Linked DNA regions of Danio rerio. Each later gene encodes a partner of the first gene's protein in a complex. Links are inferred from orthologs where the notes say so. Each region holds a gene or a part of one and is shown in the gene's direction. Other genes may lie near its edges.

Evidence for each region.
Region 2: taf10 (region 1) and taf11 share a complex: the UniProt entries of both Homo sapiens proteins name them as parts of the TFIID basal transcription factor complex. The link is inferred for Danio rerio from reciprocal best matches to the Homo sapiens genes TAF10 and TAF11.
Region 3: taf10 (region 1) and taf5 share a complex: the UniProt entries of both Homo sapiens proteins name them as parts of the TFIID basal transcription factor complex. The link is inferred for Danio rerio from reciprocal best matches to the Homo sapiens genes TAF10 and TAF5.
Region 4: taf10 (region 1) and taf7 share a complex: the UniProt entries of both Homo sapiens proteins name them as parts of the TFIID basal transcription factor complex. The link is inferred for Danio rerio from reciprocal best matches to the Homo sapiens genes TAF10 and TAF7.

The regions. Positions count from the first base shown.
Region 1 is NC_133183.1:27,711,294-27,717,004, reverse strand, and holds the start of taf10 (transcription initiation factor TFIID subunit 10), read left to right. Parts: upstream 1-2,102; 5' UTR 2,103-2,321; coding exon 2,322-2,439; intron 2,440-5,194; coding exon 5,195-5,352; intron 5,353-5,441; coding exon 5,442-5,506; intron 5,507-5,711. UniProt on the Homo sapiens protein: The TFIID basal transcription factor complex plays a major role in the initiation of RNA polymerase II (Pol II)-dependent transcription.
Region 2 is NC_133198.1:383,718-389,185, forward strand, and holds the end of taf11 (transcription initiation factor TFIID subunit 11), read left to right. Parts: intron 1-1,070; coding exon 1,071-1,167; intron 1,168-1,606; coding exon 1,607-1,737; 3' UTR 1,738-3,827; downstream 3,828-5,468. UniProt on the Homo sapiens protein: The TFIID basal transcription factor complex plays a major role in the initiation of RNA polymerase II (Pol II)-dependent transcription.
Region 3 is NC_133176.1:52,737,670-52,742,827, forward strand, and holds part of taf5 (transcription initiation factor TFIID subunit 5), read left to right. Parts: intron 1-3; coding exon 4-133; intron 134-1,198; coding exon 1,199-1,363; intron 1,364-3,508; coding exon 3,509-3,686; intron 3,687-5,158. UniProt on the Homo sapiens protein: The TFIID basal transcription factor complex plays a major role in the initiation of RNA polymerase II (Pol II)-dependent transcription.
Region 4 is NC_133189.1:45,464,048-45,469,205, forward strand, and holds part of taf7 (transcription initiation factor TFIID subunit 7), read left to right. Parts: exon of another isoform or gene 1-556; intron 557-2,699; exon of another isoform or gene 2,700-3,135; intron 3,136-3,813; coding exon 3,814-3,926; intron 3,927-4,424; coding exon 4,425-4,484; intron 4,485-5,158. UniProt on the Homo sapiens protein: The TFIID basal transcription factor complex plays a major role in the initiation of RNA polymerase II (Pol II)-dependent transcription.

The DNA.
Region 1 (5,711 bases):
TTTAGACTAAACATCATTGATCTAAAATGTTTTGCATTTGTTTTTGAATGTAAAATGTTTTTAAAATGTAATAAAATTGTTGAAATTTAAGTTGTTCATTAATTAAAACCCTTTTTGCAGTTTTGGTTTTAGAATATTAATATTTGCACAAATGCATAACTACAGCTGAGCTTTGGCAGTATTGACTTTAATGGATTTCTGTGAAAATCTGCACCTTGTAAAGCAGATTACACAAACAGCACAATGTTGTTTTTGGTATTTGATCATTTTTCTGTGAAATGTAATGCTAGGAGGATGAGGAATGAGTGTTGTAGTCTTAACGATTTCATCTGATGGCATGTTTTTTTTATCTTTTTGTTCGTCATTCCAGCGACTTGACAATGGTTGAGAAGGCATTGAACCATCCTGACCATATCTGTACCTTACTGTCAGCGTCTGTGTCAGTCGAATCTGGTGGTTATGGTATCATACTCTCGTAGGCTTATACATATTGATATGTGGCTTCTATATGCACATTTATTTTTGATTTTGTTACTAAAGTGTATGATTCTTGTGACAATAAAACAAAATGCTTTTAATTTGGAAACATTTTATGTTGGTCATTGATGTGACTACTGTTATGTGTGCCACCCATATATCTAAATCGAAGATGTAGATTTAGAAACCTTATTGTGATTTATAAAAATAAATGATCAAATGCAGGCAAATAATAAAGCAATAAAAGTTGTATTAAAAATTGTAAATATATTAATAACAAAATAATCTTAAGTTTCAAATTATTAAAAATATTTTTGTAGTTTTATGTTCAACTCGTGACACTGTGTTAGGGTGTGTTTTGGCTTGAAAGAGTTTAAAAATACGAGAACAAACCTTTGTGTTTTCACACACCCAAACATTTTTTTTTTCTTTTGTTAAATTATCTATTAATTAATATTAGTGTCCAAAAAAAGCATTTAGGAAATTAATAACATTTTCCCCTCCAAGATCTAACACACTTAAGTTTGTTCTAGAAACCTTTCAGAATAATATTTATTATTTTGGACTGGATTTAAGCAGGCATTCTAAGGAATTTATTTAAATTTCATTAATTCCAAAAGAGCTCTGGTTTCCCACACAGTCCAAACACATGCAGTTAAGGTGAATTGAATAAACTTAATTGGTCGTAGTGTATGTGTGTGATTGAGGGTATATTGATGTTTCCCACTACTGGAATGCAGCTGGAAGGGCATGCGCTGTGTAAAACATAGGCTGGATAAGTTGGCGGTTCATTTTGCTGTGGCGACCCCTGATGAATAAAGGGACTAAGCTGAAAGAAAATGAATGAATAATGCCATAAGATTTAATAGCCATTTTTAGAAATAATAAACTCTAAATGACAGGCTATAAGATGATATATTCAAATTTTAATTAAAGTATTATAATAATACTTACAATATTATTATAATATATATAATATATTTAATACTAATACTCAGAGTGCAAATTACTCTGTCAAATTTAGCCTTTTTTTTTAAATGACATCTAAAGACATTTAAATATTCTCTTATTATTTTAGAGGTTACTGTAACTCAAACTATACAAACACCTATTTTACAAGAGAACTGTCTCGAACACTACAGTATCCACGCTGTTGAATGAGTCTTGCAAAGACTGATTGGCGCGATTATGCCTTTAACCATAGGGGTGGTCAAATTTATATTTGTATAATCTATTTTATTTTAATTATTAATATTATTTAAGATAACATGAGTAACATGACAGCATGTAAGATTGATACGCTAATAACAAGATTATTTTGTGGTTTAAGTGTATTAGTTGCAGTCACAGAGACCTTAAAGTGTAATTTGAACACTATAACTATATTTAAGTTTTCTGACATTCCTTTGTGTGAAATAACCCACTTCACCGCCATCACTAGATGGAGCTGTTGCAAAATGTCCTCGGTCTAGGTCTACACACGCAATATGTTTCTTCTTTCTCCTTTTGGATGAACTGCAAATTATATATTGAATGCCAAATACGTATGACAAAGTTTGCGCTTTAAATTCAATACTACAAATAATAAATGTGAGCTAAAAGGGATTTATCCGGAACCATTGACGATTTCCAACACCAAGCGGGATTTCATAGTGGTTGCACACGGAAGTGTTGATCACCTGACGCAGTTGCAGCGTAAATATTTTTATCATCAGAGCGAGCGACCGATACTTCGCCGTTTAAACGGCATAAATGAGCGCTCGACTCAACCCAACATTAGTTTAAACTGTGTGTGTTTTTCTAGTATAGCTTAGCGTTTGCAATACATAAACTAAGCCGGGAAAATGAACGTGGATCTCACGCAGACCGGAGCAGCAGCGGCGGCGTCCAGCAGCAGCAACTGCGTCCCGAACAGCAGCACCACAAACGCCAGCAGCATCCCTGCGCTCGCCAGCAGCAATGGTGTGTGTCTCTGTGTGTCTTTTCCACAACACTCATTTTTTACTGGGCGATGTGACTTGAAAATAATAACAGTTTATCGCTTTTTTTATATTAGTTGTTATCGCCAATTATCACAAAAAAGTCACAACTTTATTTATTTCACGTTTTAATGCAGATTTTTGCTCCTGAATAATAGTTGTACGAAGCAAACAGATAACTAATCGTTTAAACTTCTCGTATATTGTAAAACTTGTCAAACGCATGTCAAAGAGATGAACATTTCACAGATCTGAGGTAACGTTACAGCAAAAACCAACGTTTTTGGGACACCCCTCCATTGAATTCAGGTGTATTATAATCAAGCACCTAGGCATGCAGACAAACATTTGACAGAATGGGTTGATCACAGAAATCCAAGTGATTTTAAACGCAATGTGCAATGTGGCCTACATGACATTTCCTCACTACAGCTAAATATTACATGGTCAACTTCAAGTCTTCTTTCTTGGGGTGCTCTTGCTTTTCTTTTTTACTGCAATTAGTACAACAGTGAATTTTCAAGGGCAATAGCATAAAACGGGTATAGTAGTATAGACAACAACTGAAAAACAAGCCAATCACATTTTCAAATCAAGGTGCAAATAGTGACAATTTATTTTAAAAAATCGATTTAAGAAAGTAAAATTTGTTTCTTTTAAGGTATAAAGGTAGTGAGACAACTGTGGGGGGTAGAAGAGGCACATCATGCACATATATCCTGGCAGTGCTTAAGAATGAACAGTTTTTGAGAAACTACTCTCGGCCATTAATTATATTTTTGATCTTCATATTTCTAGATCATTCAAAGTACTTTATCTAGGGGACATAACTATTAAACTTGAAAAGGAGGCTGGATATCTATTTAAAATATTATTGGCAAAAAGTAAGAAAAGCTATAACCTGGAAATGGTATGAAGAAGATCCGCTCAAAATAATAACAGAAATGGAAAAAATGATTACAAATAGAAAAAGAGATGGCTGGCTTTCTCTACAACGGCAATACAATTATCCATAATTTAACGTTTACGTAATTCTAGAGGTTATGCATCATTGCGAGAATGTTTGTCAACCTTTTATTATATTTGTTTTGTACTTTTTTATTCATTTATTTTCTTGATGAGGTTAATTTACTGTTTTTTATATATGTATGCATATAGATATACTTGTGTGGAATGGATGTATTTGTGTATATACACGTATATACTTGTTATGTATGTGTGTTTATATGTTTTATAGTTTGTTTTGTTCCCACTGGTTATATGTTTCTAAAAAAATACATAAAAACTAAGTATTAAAAAAAGATAGTAAGATGTGAGTGATAGTTTCTATTTTAAAATGAGTAAAATTAGTTTACTTACACTTCCTATTTACACTTTACACTAAAATACTTTTCCATTATTAAACAGTAAATTCACAATATACCAAATTTTAATGTCAACATAAACTCCTGGGGCAGACTCTGTGCTTAAAGAAAATGAAGAGCGACCAATTCACAAAATTTGTGGTTTTAATGCATTTATTTACACAATTCATAAAGCCACTTTAAGCTGCATCATATTAAAAAAAACTATTAGTTGTTATATTGTAATCCTGTCACATATTACTGTTTTATTTGAAAATTATATCATGTAAAATATAGTTATCATGTGTTATTACCACGGCCAGACAGAATCTGCAGACATTTTTTGCTGTTTCTGCGCAGAAGTAAAAAATGTGTGAATTTATGCAAAAAGATTTTGGAAGCAACTTAACTAAATACTTAATATATGGAATTTTAACTTATTTAATTTTTTAATTAAATAATTAGATGCACTTATTTGGTAAACAAAGCAAGTCTACTAAAATCTACTAAAAGACGAAATATTACTTTACAAACTGTATTGTAAATAAATCATATGAACATTTTCATATGGTCAATAATATTACTGAAATAAATGTAATAATAATAATAATAATAATATATATATATATATATATATATATATAATAAAATATATAAATTTGGCAAAAAAAAACCCTGTGGAAATCTGTGGATTTCTGCGCACACAGATTCCATGTGGGCCTAGTTACTACCCAGCCCTGATCAGAGAGCTTAGCATTTACCTACAAACATTTAATTATAAATTCAATTATTTACACTTAGTTGTCCAACTTTTGTCCAAAGCAACTGTCAAATGAGAAAGGGTATTGTGATTTATCACAAAGAGCCAATGCCCACTTTAATGCCTGTATTAACAGGAAGTTGTTGCAAACTTTTATTTCAGTGTGATGACCTATTTCCAACTGAATTGAAATATTGAGCAGTGGGCGGGTTTTATTTTTGTGCTCCTGTCATCTTTCACTTGTGGCAAACTTAACGGTTGAAGAGGTGTGGCTAAGCATCTTTTGCTCCAATCTGTCAAACTGACGTCATCAGAGAAGAACTGCCATAACAGAGCAGAAGCAGATGGTCAGATTTAGATTAAACTGTTCCTCTTAAGTGGATTAACTTGCACATATGAATCGTTCACTTTGAGACTAACAATCTGCGCTAGCAAAATAATCTATGGAAATTTTATTAAATGCAGACTTAAGTAGGGAGGGATTAAGGAAAGAATGAGAAGAAGAATTTTTTGTTAGGTTGTAGTTTAGTGCTCATGAAAGAGAAGTTTTAGCTGCCTTTTGATTGTTGCCTGTAATGTCAATTGTTGTTTTATTGCCTTAAATTGTCTGTTATACTTACTTTCCGCCCTCAAAGTGTCTACTTCGGCTTCCATGGCAACCCCATCCTCCGACTCCACTGTATCAAACGGCGTGTATGTGCCCACAGAGATCGCCAACGGAGACGTGAAGCCTGTGATCTCAACTACACCACTGGCAGATTTCCTCATGCAGCTGGAGGATTACACTCCTACAGTGAGCTCCCTTTTGTGATTTGTAGTTTATTCTTTGGTTATTAATGATATTTTATGAGTTGTACTGCTAACAAACTGTCTGTGCTTCAGATTCCAGACGCAGTTACAGGATACTATCTCAACAGAGCTGGATTTGAAGCATCAGATCCAAGGATGTGAGTTCGGAATAAGAAAGCTTTCTCTCAGAAAGCTGTTGGGTCAAATATGATAAAAGCACTTTAAATGTATGAAAGATAAACAAAAACTCTTAATACTTTAGTTTATTTATCGGTTTCCACGATTTCACTACTGGCTTATTAGCTGCCTGTTATTAAGAGATTGGCAGTTTATTAGTACTTCTAAAGTATGATCTTATTCTAC
Region 2 (5,468 bases), on another chromosome or scaffold:
AAGGGACAAAGCTGAAAAGAAAATGGCAGCATTGTTATTCCTGCAAGAAGGTCTCTGGTTTGAGTCTCGGCTGGTTCAGTTGGGGCTTCTGTGTGGAGTTTGCATGTTCTCCCGGCATTCGTGTGGGTTTTCTTCAGGTGCTCCGGTTTCCCCCACAGTCCAAACACACGCGCTATAGGGGAATTGGGTGGGCTAAATTGTATGTAATGTGAATGAGTGTGTAAGAGTGTTTCCCAGATATGGGTTGCAGCTGGAAGGGCATCCGCTGCGTAAAACATATGCTGGATAAGTTGTCGGTTCATTCCACTGTGGCGACCCCGGATTAATAAAGAGACTAAGCTGAAAAGAAACTGAATGTTATTCCTGCTGGTCTACAGGCGCCCCCTGCTGGAAGTCCATCAATTCTTTCATATTGAGTGTGAGTGATGCATTAGTTTAGGCGCAGGCGTGTCATGTAGCATCATTTCACTGAAACAGATCATCATTTTTAATGATTCAGGCTGTTTTTATATCATTAACTGCCCACACTAATGTTGATTAAATCTTTGTGTGGATGATGATGAAAGAACAGTTGTAGCCTGTGATGGAGCAAATAAACAGATCACTCCCACCGTTCTGAATTATCTTGCATTGAAAAGCGAGTTAGCACCAGCTAAGACTCTTTAGTTATGCGTAACTGCACAGTCTGTGTTTGGTAACTATACTGTACGCTAAAATGTGCTCAATATTACTGGTTAGAACGAATCAATTCTTCAATCGAGAAGCGTTTTCTAGACAAGAATCAAACATTTTCAGAAATAATGAGTCAAAATGAAGTGAGTTTTTCATTAAAACAAGCAGAGTAATCTTGTGTCAAAAGGCAAAACAAGATTATTTCGCTCACTCCTTTGATTTGCAGACTGTTTTGCTTGTTTTAACTTCATTTTGACTCGTTTGTTTGTACAAGACGTGAGTTGAATGCACTATATACACCATTATACCTCAAAATAGCACAGAATAGTGCATGAGCGTGTGATTATCGATGCATCTTCTTTGTCTTGGAGTTAAACAGATTTCTTTCTGTCCTCCAGCTGATTCAGTCCATCACCGGATCATCGGTCTCTCAAAACGTGGTCATCGCCATGTCCGGAATCGCCAAAGTGTTTGCTGGAGAGATTGTTGAAGAAGGTTAGTGACACGCTGCTCTGCAGACACTCTTATTTGTCTTGTTTCTAGTCCAAAAGCTAAAGCTCAAACTCTTCACCTCAATCTGTGTTCAGTAAATGTGCTGTAAGATATAATGTGGTCAGTTCAAACTAACCATCAAGACTTTCAGACAGTGTGAGACTGATAACGGCAGCCAGAGGAGAGAATACTGTCAGATTACCTGTCCTGCATTACACACACCTCACACACACACGCGGGAGTTCAGTTACTGATGCGCAGATGACATAACGCATAGAGAAACACATATAAATGTGCACACCTTTACAAATATTCTTAATATTTAAAACGTTCACGTATTTAAGATGCTGATGAGCGTTAAACACATCATTACAGTGCTGTGAAGAGCTCCATGACGCTCTGCTGATCGTCTCCGTGATGCATTTCTCTTGCTTGTCTTCAGCTCTGGATGTGTGTGAGAAGTGGGGGGACACTCCACCTCTGCAGCCCAAACACATGAGGGAAGCCGTGCGGAGACTGAAGAGCCGAGAGCAGATTCCCAGCTCCAAACACAAACACATCCTCTTCCACTGAACAGCATCACGGAGAAACAGGACTGGACATCTCTCCGCTGTAAACAGTAATGATGATGTAGAAAAGAGGATTTGTTTTATTATTATTATTATTATTATTATGAAATACTTTGTTGCCTAATGTTGGTTTAGTTTTGATGCCGTGTGTGTTTTGGAAAGCACATCTAATGTTATCTCCTCATGTTTTGATGAAAGAATGTGAAATTAAATGTTTGTACTAAACCCTGCAGTTCTTCACTCTTATTAGGATGAGGATTATTTCAATATTAGGACTGGGTGAAGCAGACTCAGACTAAAAGGCAGCAAACATAAAGACATCAGGCAAAGAAAAGGAATCAGATGTCGGGTGGAGTGCGGCGTGTCCCACCCTACGTGACGTCACGCGACTCAGAACAAGCAGTGGTGTAATACAGTGGTGGGAGTCGCTTGGTGATTTAAAAAACTCAAATAAATGTTACTGAACTATTATGATGACCATATTTTATCCATAACCTACAGAAGATACAAATAGCCGTTTTTAATAGTAAACAACAACATGCAAATGATTAGCCCTCAGCCTTTACATGATCTTCACAGGATCAGTGTGTTTACATTGGATCATCCACACAGCACTCGCGTCAGCTGCAGCAGATTTTACAGCACCGCGATAAACTTTCTGACACCTTTATGGCACTGGAGTACATTAAAAATAACTACAGACCACAACTGAACACTGAGGATGATCTCTGAGTGCCGGTCTCCGAAATTAAACCAAGAATAGACTTGTGCTGAACACAGAGAGTGATATGCAATAAAAGCCCCGTCTACTCCATATTCAGTCTCAACTGAGAGCACATCAACACACTGAGATAAAAGCCTCGGCAGCTTCTGATTCACCATGACTTCTCAAGTCACCATGAGCCAGATGTTGCTGCATACTTTATTACGGTGAATGTAAGTGTTTCAGTAGTGTTGTGTGTGTGTGTCACCAATGGTTTGATGCTGAAATCTTGTGCGGTGTGTTGTTAGGAGCTAGGTACACTCAGAACACACTCCGTTTGTATATGAACACTCAGAGTTCCAGCGGTTTCATGAACAGCAGATTCTGGGACTTTTTAAAGCATTCATTTTAAATCAAGCACCTCCGCGCTTCACACTGCCAGCATATGCAGCGCCATGGAAGACCTCACTGTACCTAATATTTCACTCACACTTAATATTTACATTAAAATAGCAATGATCAGGATACATTCGTTCATTTTCCTTCAGCTGAGTCCCTTATTTATCAGGGGTCACCACAGCGGAATGAACTGTCAACTATTCCAGCATATGTTTTACACAGCGGATGGCCTTCCTGATGCAATCCAGTACTGGGAAACACCCATACACCCTCATTCACACACACACTCATACACTACGGCCAGTGTAGTTGATCAGTTCCCCTATAGCGCATGTGTTTGGACTGTGGGGGGAGTTCTTGTGTAAGATGTAAGTGTAAGGTTTATAAATGAAGAATTTCTCGTTTGTTTTTGGTTCATTTTCTGAAAGCAGAACAGCACAATTGTTGAAATAACATCATAAACGTTAAACTCAAGCACCTCTGTTTGTTTTTAAGCTCTTCCCATGCCTTGAATTCACATGTGTGAAACTTGAAGCACTTTCAAGACTCATGGGAACCCAGAACACTTGGTTTTATCAAAACATGCAACCGTTGTTTGATAAAAGAAATGCATTTTTAACCTTTAAGAAACATTTTATTGATAATAATCATTGATCTTGACATATTTCCACACAGTTATGGTTCACAGAACCAACAAAATATCAGCTTTGTTTGAATGTTTTGTTCCAGGTGGTGAGATAAAGCATGAGAGAAGACTAAAACACAGTAATGAAGCGATCACAGGTCTAAATAAACCTCAGAGAAGCAACACCATGAGGGAAAACCCCAACTCAGACTTACAGAAAACGTCCTGTAATCCTACATTTCCACACTTTCTGCTGCCCTAAACATTGATCTGCTCTAATTTACTATGACCTTTTATGTGAAGCTGCTTTGACACCATCTACATTGTAAAAGCGCTGTACAAATAAAAGTGAACTGAATTGAATTGATCTGGGCGACTAATCAGATTTTCTTCATCTCAGATGTTCTCTAGAAACTCGTTTTGACAGCTGTGTTTCCATCCTAACATGCAAATAGATGCAAATTATGCGCAAAACTGCAATATTGCTTAAAATATCCGTGAATAAATGTTAGCGGTTAAAAACTAAATCACATCACGCATACTGATGAAGCTCAGAGTTTATCTGCATTTATTCTCAGCAAATAAAACCTTTTATCCTGGTAATTATGCGCATATGTTTTATATGAATGTTTTCCAAATTTATAGACATCTTGGCATCTATATGAAGCACATTTTACGTTATAAGTGAAGTTTATTTATAAGCTAATTTCAGAGGATCTCGTGCTTATGATTGACCACAGCCGGTCCCTCATTATCCTGTTCATGATTGACCAATCAGACGATCCCTAAGTCACTACAAATACCCTGAGCTCCATATCACAGCCATCTTGGTTTTGAAGAGTCCCCCCTTCCACCCCTACAGTTTATGTGCATTTTTATTTTTATCAAATACAACCTTTTATCCTACTAGTTGTGCACATGTTTTTATGCACGTTTTCCAAGTTTATAGACATCTATATTAAGCTGTTTTTGCACAATAATCATTGCTGGATGGAAACACAGCTACTGCAGATTCACATTAGTTGATGAATCTGATGTTAATCTTCAAGTTGGTGTTAAAATGACCGACTTTGGTATCTAATCTGAGCAGATCTGTTCTGAAACATTAAACTAGTGTGAGCATTACTGAGAAATATTAACTAAACAATCATCCAACAAATCATTCAGTTCATCAGCGCACACACACACACACACGTCAATTTAGTACCAAACACACAGTTAAAAACAGCACAGTTAGTCAAATCAGAACAAACAGCACTCGCTCTGATCCCTCATCTACAGTTAAAGTCCTCAAATAAAGCTTCCACATTAATGATGATGATGATGATGATGCACTTGTGAGAGAATTCAAGTAAACTCATGCATAAAACACAGAGGTCGTTTTCTTCCATGCACTGAATGAAGTTGTTTTTGTATTATTAATTCTACACTAACATCTACTGAGAATGTCTTCATACGACTGTAACCCACAGGAGTCTGGAAGACACAAGAGTCTAAATACACCAACAGAGAGAGCTTAGTGTATCTGAACGCTACACATTTGACTGACAGCTGAAGCACAGACACGCTCCAGGTCTTAAACACCTTCAAAATTAAAGCACCTCTACATTTAAAGCAATCACTTTGTCCCATTTTGATGCTTGCTGATAGATCGGTCCAGATGTGCACCGCAAACAGCGCTGTTCTCATCTACACACTCATACATCAAGAAGCATTTGTAGACGGGAATAAAATACTGTCTTGCTTTCAAAAATAATGAGTCAAAATAAAGAGAGTTTCTCATTAAAACATGCAGAATAATCTGACAGTGGGGGAGGCGGAATAATCTTGTTTTTCCTTTTGACAAAAATTAATATAAAAAAAAATTATATAAAATAAAAAATAAAATAGAATAAAAAACTAAATTTAGTACAAATAAATAAAAAATATTATAAAATAAAATAAATGTCCATTTCTGACACTGAGGAAAACCATCATGCTTTGGTGAATCAAAAACTGAGACACACAC
Region 3 (5,158 bases), on another chromosome or scaffold:
TAGACCTGAATTTGATTGATAAAGAGTCAGATGATGTTCTAGAGAGGATCATGGATGAGAAGACGTCCAGCGAGTCTAAGATCCTCCATGGTCACAGTGGGCCAGTGTATGGGGTCAGCTTCAGCCCAGACAGGTATCAAGAAAATTAGAGGAACAATTCATGGTTAAATAAGTTAGACAGAACTTAAATCAGAACAGAGTTTGCCACCCCTAAAAATATTCTTGCATGATTTATTATCTTTTTTTTCAGCTGCTGTACACTACCTGACAAAAGTCTTGTTGTCTATCCAAGTTTAAGGAACAACAAATAATAACTTGACTTCTAGTTTATCATTTGGTGTCAGAAGTAGCTTATATGAAAGGAAAAGGCCCCTAGATTACGCTTATTTTACCAAAATAAGATGTGATCATACCTTGATTTTTAATTATGTAATTAGGACAGTAAGGTCTGACTTCACCTAAACAAAAGTCTTGGCACTTAAAAGAAATAATGTACAGTATAGAATATAAAGTCATGTTGCAGTGGAGAAAAAATTTATATTGTGTAAGACTCCCATGAGCTTGGAGGACTGCATCCATACATCTCTGCAATGACTCAAATAACGTATTAATAAAGTCATCTGGAATGGCAAAGAAAGTGTCCTTGCAGAGTTCATCAAGATTCTTTAGATTCATCTTCAATGCCTTCTCCTTCATGTTACCCCAGACATGCTCAATAATGTTCATGTCTGGTGACTGGGCTGGCAAATCCTGGAGCACCTTGACCTTCTTTGCTTTCAGGATCTTTGATGTGGAGGCTGAAGTTTGAGAAGGAGCGCTATCCTGCTGAAGAAGTTGCCCTCTCCTGTGGTTTGTAATAGGCAACACAAATGTCTTGATACCTCAGGCTGTTGATGTTGCCATCCACTCTGCAGATCTCTCATATGCCCCCATTCTGAATGTAACCCCAAACCATGAGTTTTCTTTTACCAAACTTGACTGATTTCTATGAGAATCTTGGCTCCATGCTGGTTCCAGTAGGTCTTCTCCAGTATTTGTGGTGATTGGGATGCAGTTCAACAGATGTGGAAAAATGGCAATTTTCCAAATGATCAACTAGATGTCAAGTTGTTATTTGTTGCTCTTACATCTGGAATCGATGACAAGACTTTTGTCAGGTAGTGTAGGGTGTGGTTTAATATCTCTGTCTGTGTCATAGGAACTATCTGTTGTCCAGCTCTGAGGACGGTACAATCCGACTATGGAGCCTGCAGACGTTTACTTGTCTTGTAGGGTATAAAGGACACAATTATCCAGTGTGGGACACTCAGTTCTCACCATTCGGCTACTACTTTGTGTCTGGAGGACATGACAGAGTGGCAAGGTAAGGTGGATTGTCATTACTCTTATCCTGAAATACCTGGTATCGGATTGGAGAGAAAATAATAGGTATCGCCCCTCCCTAGTAACAATGTTATAAAAAAAATTGTTATTGGGTGTCACAGTGGCTCAGTGGTTAGCACTGTTGCCTTACAGCAAGAAGGTTGCTGGTTTGAGCCTCGGCTGGGCCAACTGGCATTTCTGTGTGGAGTTTGCATGTTCTCCCCGTATTGGCGTGGGTTTCCTCCAGGTGCTCCGGCTTCCCTTACAGTCGAAAGGCATGCGCTATTGGTGAACTGGGTAGACTAAATTGGCCGTAGTGTATGAGTTAGTGATGGGTCATTCTTGAACGATTCGGTCATTTTGAACAAATCTTCAATATGACTCGGGAACTACGAATCCTCTCAGGGAATGATTCGTTCATCCGCGCGTGCGCACATTTGTGCAGGTGGTATCGTTTATTTCAAGTCTTTTGAGTCATTCATCGCAGAAAGGCAGAGGCCAATCATATGCGTTTAGAGCCGGAAAAAGAATTAATCCGTTCATCTCTCGAGTCCTCTATCGAGTCTGAGTCATTCGTTCCTCACGGGCCAATCATATGCGTTTAGAGCCGGAAAAAGAATTGATCTGTTCATCTCTCGAGTCCTCTATCGGGTCTGAGTCATTCGTTCCTCACGGGCCAATCATATGCGTTTAGAGCCGGAAAAAGAATTGATCCGTTCATCTCTCGAGTCCTCTATCGGATTTGAGTCATTCTGTCACGTGATGAACGAACGACTCAAAAACCAGAAGACTCGAAAGGTGAACTAATCGTCATGGCTCCTATCGGCTCAGACTGTGAACATTGGTTACGATTATATGTATGTGACTGTCATGCTGTGTTCACACCAGACGCGGAACGTGCGGATAAATCGTGCTATTCGCGCGTAAATAGCCTCATGAACATTTGAGTTTACTCGCTTCATGCGCGCGTCAAACCCCGCATCTTTCGCGTGTCAAATTCACATCAAAACAGACGCGGATTCGCGTGATGGGCAGGGCTTCTGTCTGCCCGAAGACTCTAGCTTCATAGCTAAATGGCTAACATGGATTTTATGAAGAAAATAACAGTGTTTTTGTGCTTTATGAAGACTGAAAAACAGCGTCGATATGTTTAGGGTCGTGTCTGAGTCCATTACATTCTTTCAGAGGTGCATCCAGCTCTGTGAGCTCATAAACTCCTCCAGAAACTTAACCTGGATGACGGAGGCTTTCAGCGGTGCTTCTGACTGAGCCAAGCCGTGTTTGATGAACTGTTGTCGGTGAAGGCTGGAGGATTTCCCTCGGAACAACGACAACAGGTTCTACGTCACAATCACGCCCCCACAAGAGCAAGTGTCTGATTGGTTAACGCGCGCGAATGTACGCTGAAGTTCAGATTTTCAAAATCAAAAGATTCGCGAGAAACGCTCGTTAAGCGCGTCAAACGCGCAAAACGCTCAATTCGCCCCGCGTCATTCGCGCAATTTGCGTCATTAGCGCCGCGCCATTCGCGTGTATCGCGCCGCAGGAGTTCTATTCGCGCGTTTGCATTGACTTAACATGTAAATCACTCGCGCTTGACGCGCGTGCCGCGTCTGGTGTGAACGCAGCATCAGTGTAACGTGAACGAACCACTGACATTTAAAGACATGAAGAGGTGAGCTGACCAAAGAGACAACAAAACCTTCATAGACAAAAGAGCATGTAAACATTGAATTATTATTTTCTCCTTCTTATAGTATTCTATTTATGACTTATTTGTCATGTGATCAACCTTTTGGGCTAGTTGTAGATGTGTTTGGAAGCAATTCATAAGCATTTTAATAATATTTTGGCAAATTGAACCAAATGAACGAAAAAGGATTCATTCATCTCGATGAACGAGATGAAGATCTGAGTCGGTAAAATGATCCGAACTTCCCATCACCAGTATGAGTGTGTGTGTGTGTATGGGTTTTACTCAGTACTGGCTGCGGCTGTAAGGGCATCTGCGTAAAGCATACGCCTGAGTAGTTAGCGGTTTATTCCGCTGTGGCAACCCCTGATAAATAAGGGACTAAGCTGTAGGAAAGTAAAAATCAAATCCACCCACGTTTGTCTTCATCTGATATCATGATTTGCTTGTCAGGCTCTGGGCGACGGATCATTACCAGCCTTTACGGATATTTGCTGGTCATCTCGCAGACGTCACCTGCACACGATTCCATCCCAACTCCAACTATGTGGCCACGGGCTCGTCCGACCGCACCGTACGACTCTGGGACGTCCTGAATGGAAACTGTGTTCGCATTTTCACAGGTCACAAGGTATTTAAGGCTTCCAAAAATGTTGGAATGAAGACAGCACTGCAAAGAAAATCATATTAATTACATTTTACCACCGTCTCTGAGAGTTTATTTCAATTTGCCTGCTTCCCCTCAACATTACATTGTGTTTTGCATCTGTGTAGGGCTAATGTCATAGTATTTAACTAGAAAAGTAAAGTTCGTAGACAATCTTTATAGCCGCTTGAGAAAGCCTCGTCTGAAAGTCTGAAGTAGTTTTAAAAATTGAATAACTGAAGTAGTTTAAGAAGTTTGAAGCAGTTGGCATAGACAGATCAGTACATTTATGTTAGCATGTTTCTAGTATGGATCGGCATGTTTCTTGCTTGGTGGTGCTAGGGTGTTCTGAGTGGTTGCTAAGGTATTACTAGGATGTTCTGACTGGTTGCTAGGGCATTGCTATGGTGTTTTGACTTTTAAGGTGTTGCTAGGCAGTTGCTAAGGTGTTCTGAGTGGTTGATCGGTGGTTGCTAAGGGTGCTAGGGTGTTTCAGAGAGTTGTTAATGTGTTGCTAGGCCGTTGCTTGGGTATTCAGTGTGGTCGCTAAGCTGTCAACAGAGTGGTTGCTAAGGCATTGCTAGGGTGCTCTAGGTGGTCGCTAAGGTGTTGCTGGGTGGTTGATAGGGTGTTCTAAGTGGTTGCTAGTGCATTGCTAGGCGGTTACTAGGGTGTTCTGATTGGTTGCTTGATCAATGCAAAGGTGTTGCTTGGGTGTTCTGAGTGGTTGCTAGCCAGTTGCTATGGTGTTCTGAGTGGTTGCTAAGGTGCTGCTAGCCAGTTGCTTAGGCATTGCTAGTTGGTAGCTAAGGTGTTGCTAGGCGGTTGCTAGAGTGCTCTAAATGGTTGCTAAGGTGTTTTGATTAGTGGCTAGGTGGTTGCTTGGATGTTCTAGTTCGTTGCTAAGGTGTTGCTATGGTGTTTTGAGTGGTTGCTAAAGTGTTGCTTGGGTCTTCTGAGTGGTTGCTAAGGTGTTTCTAGGCAGTTGCTATGGTGTTCTGAGTGGTTGCTAAGGTGCTGCTAGGGTGTTCTGAGTGATTACTAAGGTGTTGCTAGGCCATTGCTAAGGTGTTCTGAGTGGTTCCTAAGGTGCCGCGAGGGTGTTCTGAGTGATTACTAAGGTGTTGCTAGGCCATTGCTAAGGTGTTCTGAGGCCGTACTCACACTAGGTACAGTTGCCTCGAACCGGGCCAAAGCCCGGCATAGTGTGAGTAGGCCCTAAGTGGTTGATAGGCAGTTGCTAGGGTGTTCTAGGTGTTTACTAAGGTGTTGCTAGGCGGTTGATAAGATGTTCTGAGTGGTTTCTAGGTTGTTACTAAAATAAATTATCATGGTTCTAGTATGAATTAGCATGTTGCTAGCATGTTTCTAGTATAAACTATCATGTTGTTAGCATGAATTTAGTATGATCTAGCATGTATGATCAGTATGTTTCTGGTGTGGATTAGTGTATTGTT
Region 4 (5,158 bases), on another chromosome or scaffold:
CTTTGGTTTGGAACCACTTCAGGGTGAGAAAAGATTTGTTTTTTGGTCAACTATAGCTTTAAGAATTTTTAAACTGGTTTAAATAATACATTTAAATGATAAAAACTTTATAAAAATGTCTACATTTTAACTGCATCACAGACATGTTCAAATGAGCCATTGATGTCTAAAAAATGCACTCTTATTATGCCGAGTTCAGACGATTTTCAAAGTAGTCACGGGAGAGATGTTTTCACACTGCATGACTATCTGGGGTAGCATTCAGTCGCTGCTGTGTTTACACTGCAAGATGGATCGGCCACTGCGGTTCACAATGCATGACCTTACAAAACAAAGTATCACTGACAACTTTGTCCTTGTCTGCAAACTATATATCACAACCAAACACACGTGAGAAGTGACATGTAAACAACACAAAGTCACATAGTATATATTTTGTTTTTAACTACAGTATATAATAAGAATGTACTTATTTTGCTCACCAGGGTTTTAAGGAGAATTAGCAATTTCCCTTCATTTTTTCGGTTGTGGTATTGCTCAGATGACATGTCCAGGGGTGATAGCGTTCCGGCACCACGCCGGATTTCCGGTGTACTGTGGCTGCGGGGAAAAAAAAAATCAGGTTCACGGATATTGATCTGTCATTTCTCTAGATTCACAGAATTCACTCACTGCTGAAAGCGCCGGATTGGATTTTATTAAGTGCAATTTTGTGTGCTCGTGAATCATCTTTTGAGTGTAGACGCCATGTAAATAAAAGATTAATTGTGTAATTTAGAGAGCTTTATAAATTATAACGGATCTTTGTGAGATCTCTATGAACTAAGATTAGTGACGCTTTTTAGTGATAATAAGAGGAGCTGCTTTGCACTTTCCAGGCTATAATCCATTCAGAATTTGTATGAAACTTTCGTTTTCGGCACATATACGCTGATATGTTTTGGGAATGACATCTGCATATTTACGCTGGGTTTATTCTCGAAATAACGGTGAAGCAATAGACGGGACAAAAATATATTTCCCCCTTCTCCTTAAACAACTTAGTGTTTCAGCTATGAAATAGTTCAGTTTTGTATGTAGCCTAATGGCAAAGTGTTTATATTTAGTTTCGTTTTTTATTCAGCTCATTTAGAAAAACGTTTGGAGCATTTTTTATTCGTTAAAAATAAGTTTTTTTTTTTTGTTTTTTTTTAATGAACAGCGCCCAGCGGAAGACCATCATTGTCTGTTTGATCAGTTTGCCTTCTCAGATCATCACGACTTGCCTAAAATAAAAGATATAAAACAGTTAAAGTATAAAACAATGGTAGCTTAAACGTTAAAGAATGTGTGCTATTAGGCGCATAGTTTGCTTATAAAAAGCTTGCAGGACATCGAGGCGCCAGAGCAATCACTTGCATTTTTTCAGTGAGAGCAATTTAAAGTTATCCGTCATTTTTGCTCACAAAGTACGAGTAATACATCAAAAAACGTTACAGCGTTTTTATAAAATAAAGAAAACCAAAATTATGCGCTTTCTGTCGTCTGGTTTTTGAACAGGAGAGCTTAACAAAATGAAGCAAAATGTATATGCCTCACAGACATAATAAATATATTTATAGAAAGCTTTAAATTATTACTTAACAAAATAAAACAAATCGAAAGCAAAAAAACTCCTTCATGTAATCCGTAAAGATGAATTTCTAAAGGCGAGTCCAAGAGGAGATTGCCAGTCAGGATCTTTGCGACACTGACTCAGAATAAGTTTATTAATAAATAATTAAGATATGTCCTTACTCTTTCCTCGACACATTCATTATTATTTGTTTTTGCCGGTGCTTGGGGCGAGTTTTAGCTTATATTTTACAGTCTATGGTAGTGACCTGTGTCACTCAGACTCAGACTGTCGCGCTGCATGTCACTGCAGTGACATCGACACCCGGTGAAGCTTATGACATGAATTAACACGAGCAAAACCATATTTAATCATTACGCGACTTTTAACCTAATTTATCGCGTCGCAAGTTAGTTTATTTGCTGAGCTACTCCACGATGTTTTAATTTAAACGCATTTATTTTATGTATTCGTAGTCATACTTCCGTACGTAATATAGTCATTTGACAGTACATGTCAGTCAAATTTATTGTGGCATGCTTATGTATGGGAGGGGTTACACTTATCTGTTGTACTGTATATTATTGCATCCTGGCAGTTCCTTTGTTCCCTACAATATGGACTTCTCTATGTTTTTAATTCATTCATTTATTTTATTATTTAACTTATTTTCATTTTAAGGTATTTTAAATAATATCCTTTAAAAAGTTATAATAAAATGCATGTTGAAAACTCATAACATATATGCATGTAAGATAACAGTTGTCATTTGCCTAATGATTTTTAAATATTAAAGCAAAGAGACTTATAAGATTAATGTGCTTATAACGTGCTTATACTGACACCTACTAGCACATGTCACAAGATCACTGACACTGGCATGTGTCACTGACATTACTGGCATGTGTCTAAAAAGAGCCACTTGACAATAATGATGATCAGGGTTACACATAGGCTGTTAATATATTTGGGCCCAGGGGCCCACAAGTTATGTGTTAAAAGTGCGTTGCATACATAGTACCCCCACCCCTACTCACCTCAGGGGCAAGGAAAAAAAGTTCAGGCTCAGGAATTTTTTCCACTATCAGCCCTGCATGTCAAACAGTTACAGGTGCTCCTGCCAAATTTACATTAGTTTTTCCTCAATTTCTTAGTTCCAAATACACTAAAAAGAAGCTCTTTTAACGTTTCCTCCAACCTTCTGCTGACCTGCAGATACCTATATTAGTGGATGCTGCTCTCTCATTGGCTGTAGGTAATCGCTGAAAATGTTTCAATCAGAACACATTTCACAGGGTATGATTTTGAATCGCCGACAGGTCTAAATATTTAGCATGCCAAATATCTGATGGGTGTCGGTGACTAAATGGTGATTCTCTCAGATCTCGTTTTTGATAGTTCACACTGTGTGATTGTTACTCACGTGAACAAGCACCGATTTACCTGTGATTTCAGATTTCTCAAAAACTGTCGGCGAGTCAAAAATCGGGGCTAAAATCATGCTGTCTGAACTCGGCATTAGGCTCCCTTATTAGATTTCAGTGTTCGCGAGAGTTTCCTCTGGGTGCTCTTGTTTGCCCCACAAATCCAAAGACATGCGTTACAGGTGAATTGGGTATGTTAAAAACTAACCGTAGTGAATGAGTGTATGTGAGTGTGTATGTGTTTCCTAGTGATTGGTTGCAGCTGGAAGGGCATCCGCTGCGTAAAAACATATGCTGGATAAGTTTCCGGTTCATTCCGCTGTGGCTACCCCAGATTAATAAAGGGACTAAGCCAAAAAGAAAATGAATGAATGAATGAATGGTGTTCTCTAGATAAAATAGAAGCTTTAAAATGGTTTACATGTTAAAATGCAAGTCATGTCCAAAGTCTCCAAGATTATGATAAATAATCAGTCGGTTCTTATCTATTATCCACAAAGCTATTTTCTCCATATTCAGATGTGCAGTCCATTCAGTGGAAATAACCTTTTCGAATTCTCTCTAAGGGTGCAGAATGTAAGAGGTGAGGTTCAGTATTTATGCAGCCTGAAGGGTTGCGCGGTTACACTGTGAAGGATTCACAGATAATTGGAATCTTAGATTGCAAAAGCATTTGCAGATTAACAAGCTCTCAAAGGTAAAAGAGCTCAGTGTGACACCAGAGTCTATGACTGAAGCGTGTGCATGTTCACTGCGGCTCATGTCTAGAGCTTACAATTTCTGTTTGATCTACAGTAATGGAGTACCAGATGCAGATCAACAATTTGAAGGCCAAGCTCCAGGAAACACGTGCCCGCAAGAAGCAACAGGAGAAACTGATCATGGAGGTGGAAAATCAAGCCCTGAGGGTGAGTTTCACTTCCCTGCACTAAAAGATGTAGCTTGCTATTTTCTCTGGCACTCTGCATCATGTAAACACAATGTTTTGGTGACAGTTTTTGTGCAGAACAGACCTTTAAAATGGACTTGAATAAATCTCATGGAAACAAGTTTTTGGCATCTTTTTAAGGCATAAATATTGCATTTCTGCTTTAGCTGTTTTTATGTAACTCACAAAAAAAAAAAAAAAAAAAAGAGTCAAATTCATTGCTCTGGCAACCACTCCATCAGGAGGATTTAGACTCTGTAAAATGGGGTTGAACATGTGGTTTAACAGTGTCACTTCGTTTGGACCGTGGTCACTATACTGGCTTAGTTTGTCCTTGGTCATTACAGTCACATTGGACAGGAAAAGGTCATGCACATCTAAGCTCCATTCACAGGGTCATAAATCAAATAGATCCGTGTACAAGCAGTAAAGTCAGTGTACTGTCAGCTAGATGAAGTCTCTCTCTTTTCTCTTACAGGATCGCTTTCAGGGACTTTTGAATGGTATGATTCGTCAAGAGGAGCAAGAGATGGAACAGGTAAGTTTGATATGGAAATTTGAGATCAATGTATTCAGATACAAAAGAAAATGAACCTTTTTTTGCTAATCAGAAACATGCAGTGAAAGCAGTGCAATCCAGTATCAAACAAATATATTCTGTGGTGGTGAAATAGAATCATGCAGCTCAGTTAATATAATCAGCACACGATTTTTAGTCTTTCATTTTAATGAATCTCCACAGATATCCATCTATTAAATAAACAGGAACTCATCTCCAGTGTTTAATTTTTAAAATGAATATCTTCAAAAAAGTATCAAGGCTCTCTGCAATTCAGAGCAGGAGATAAGGATTGCTTTATGTAACCAAAATGAACATTAAACCTTAAAGGAACACTCCACGTTTTTTGGATATTATAGGCTAATTTTACAACTCCCCCACATTTAAACAGTTGAGTTTTAACAATTTTTGAATTCATTCAGCCGATCTCCTGGGCCCAGTTTTTCAAAGTAATCCAGTGGGATTTTGGATCATGGCTTGAATCAAATCTTGGAAATGGGTTTTTCAAAAGTAACAGGGATTTTGAATTAAGATCAGACCATGTAATCCAATCGTACGTTTGATTCAGATCAAACCTGCCCTTTGGGTTATACAAAACTTTGAACTCAGATTAAAATCTATTTGATAAAAAATGGATTATGCTGATTACATCA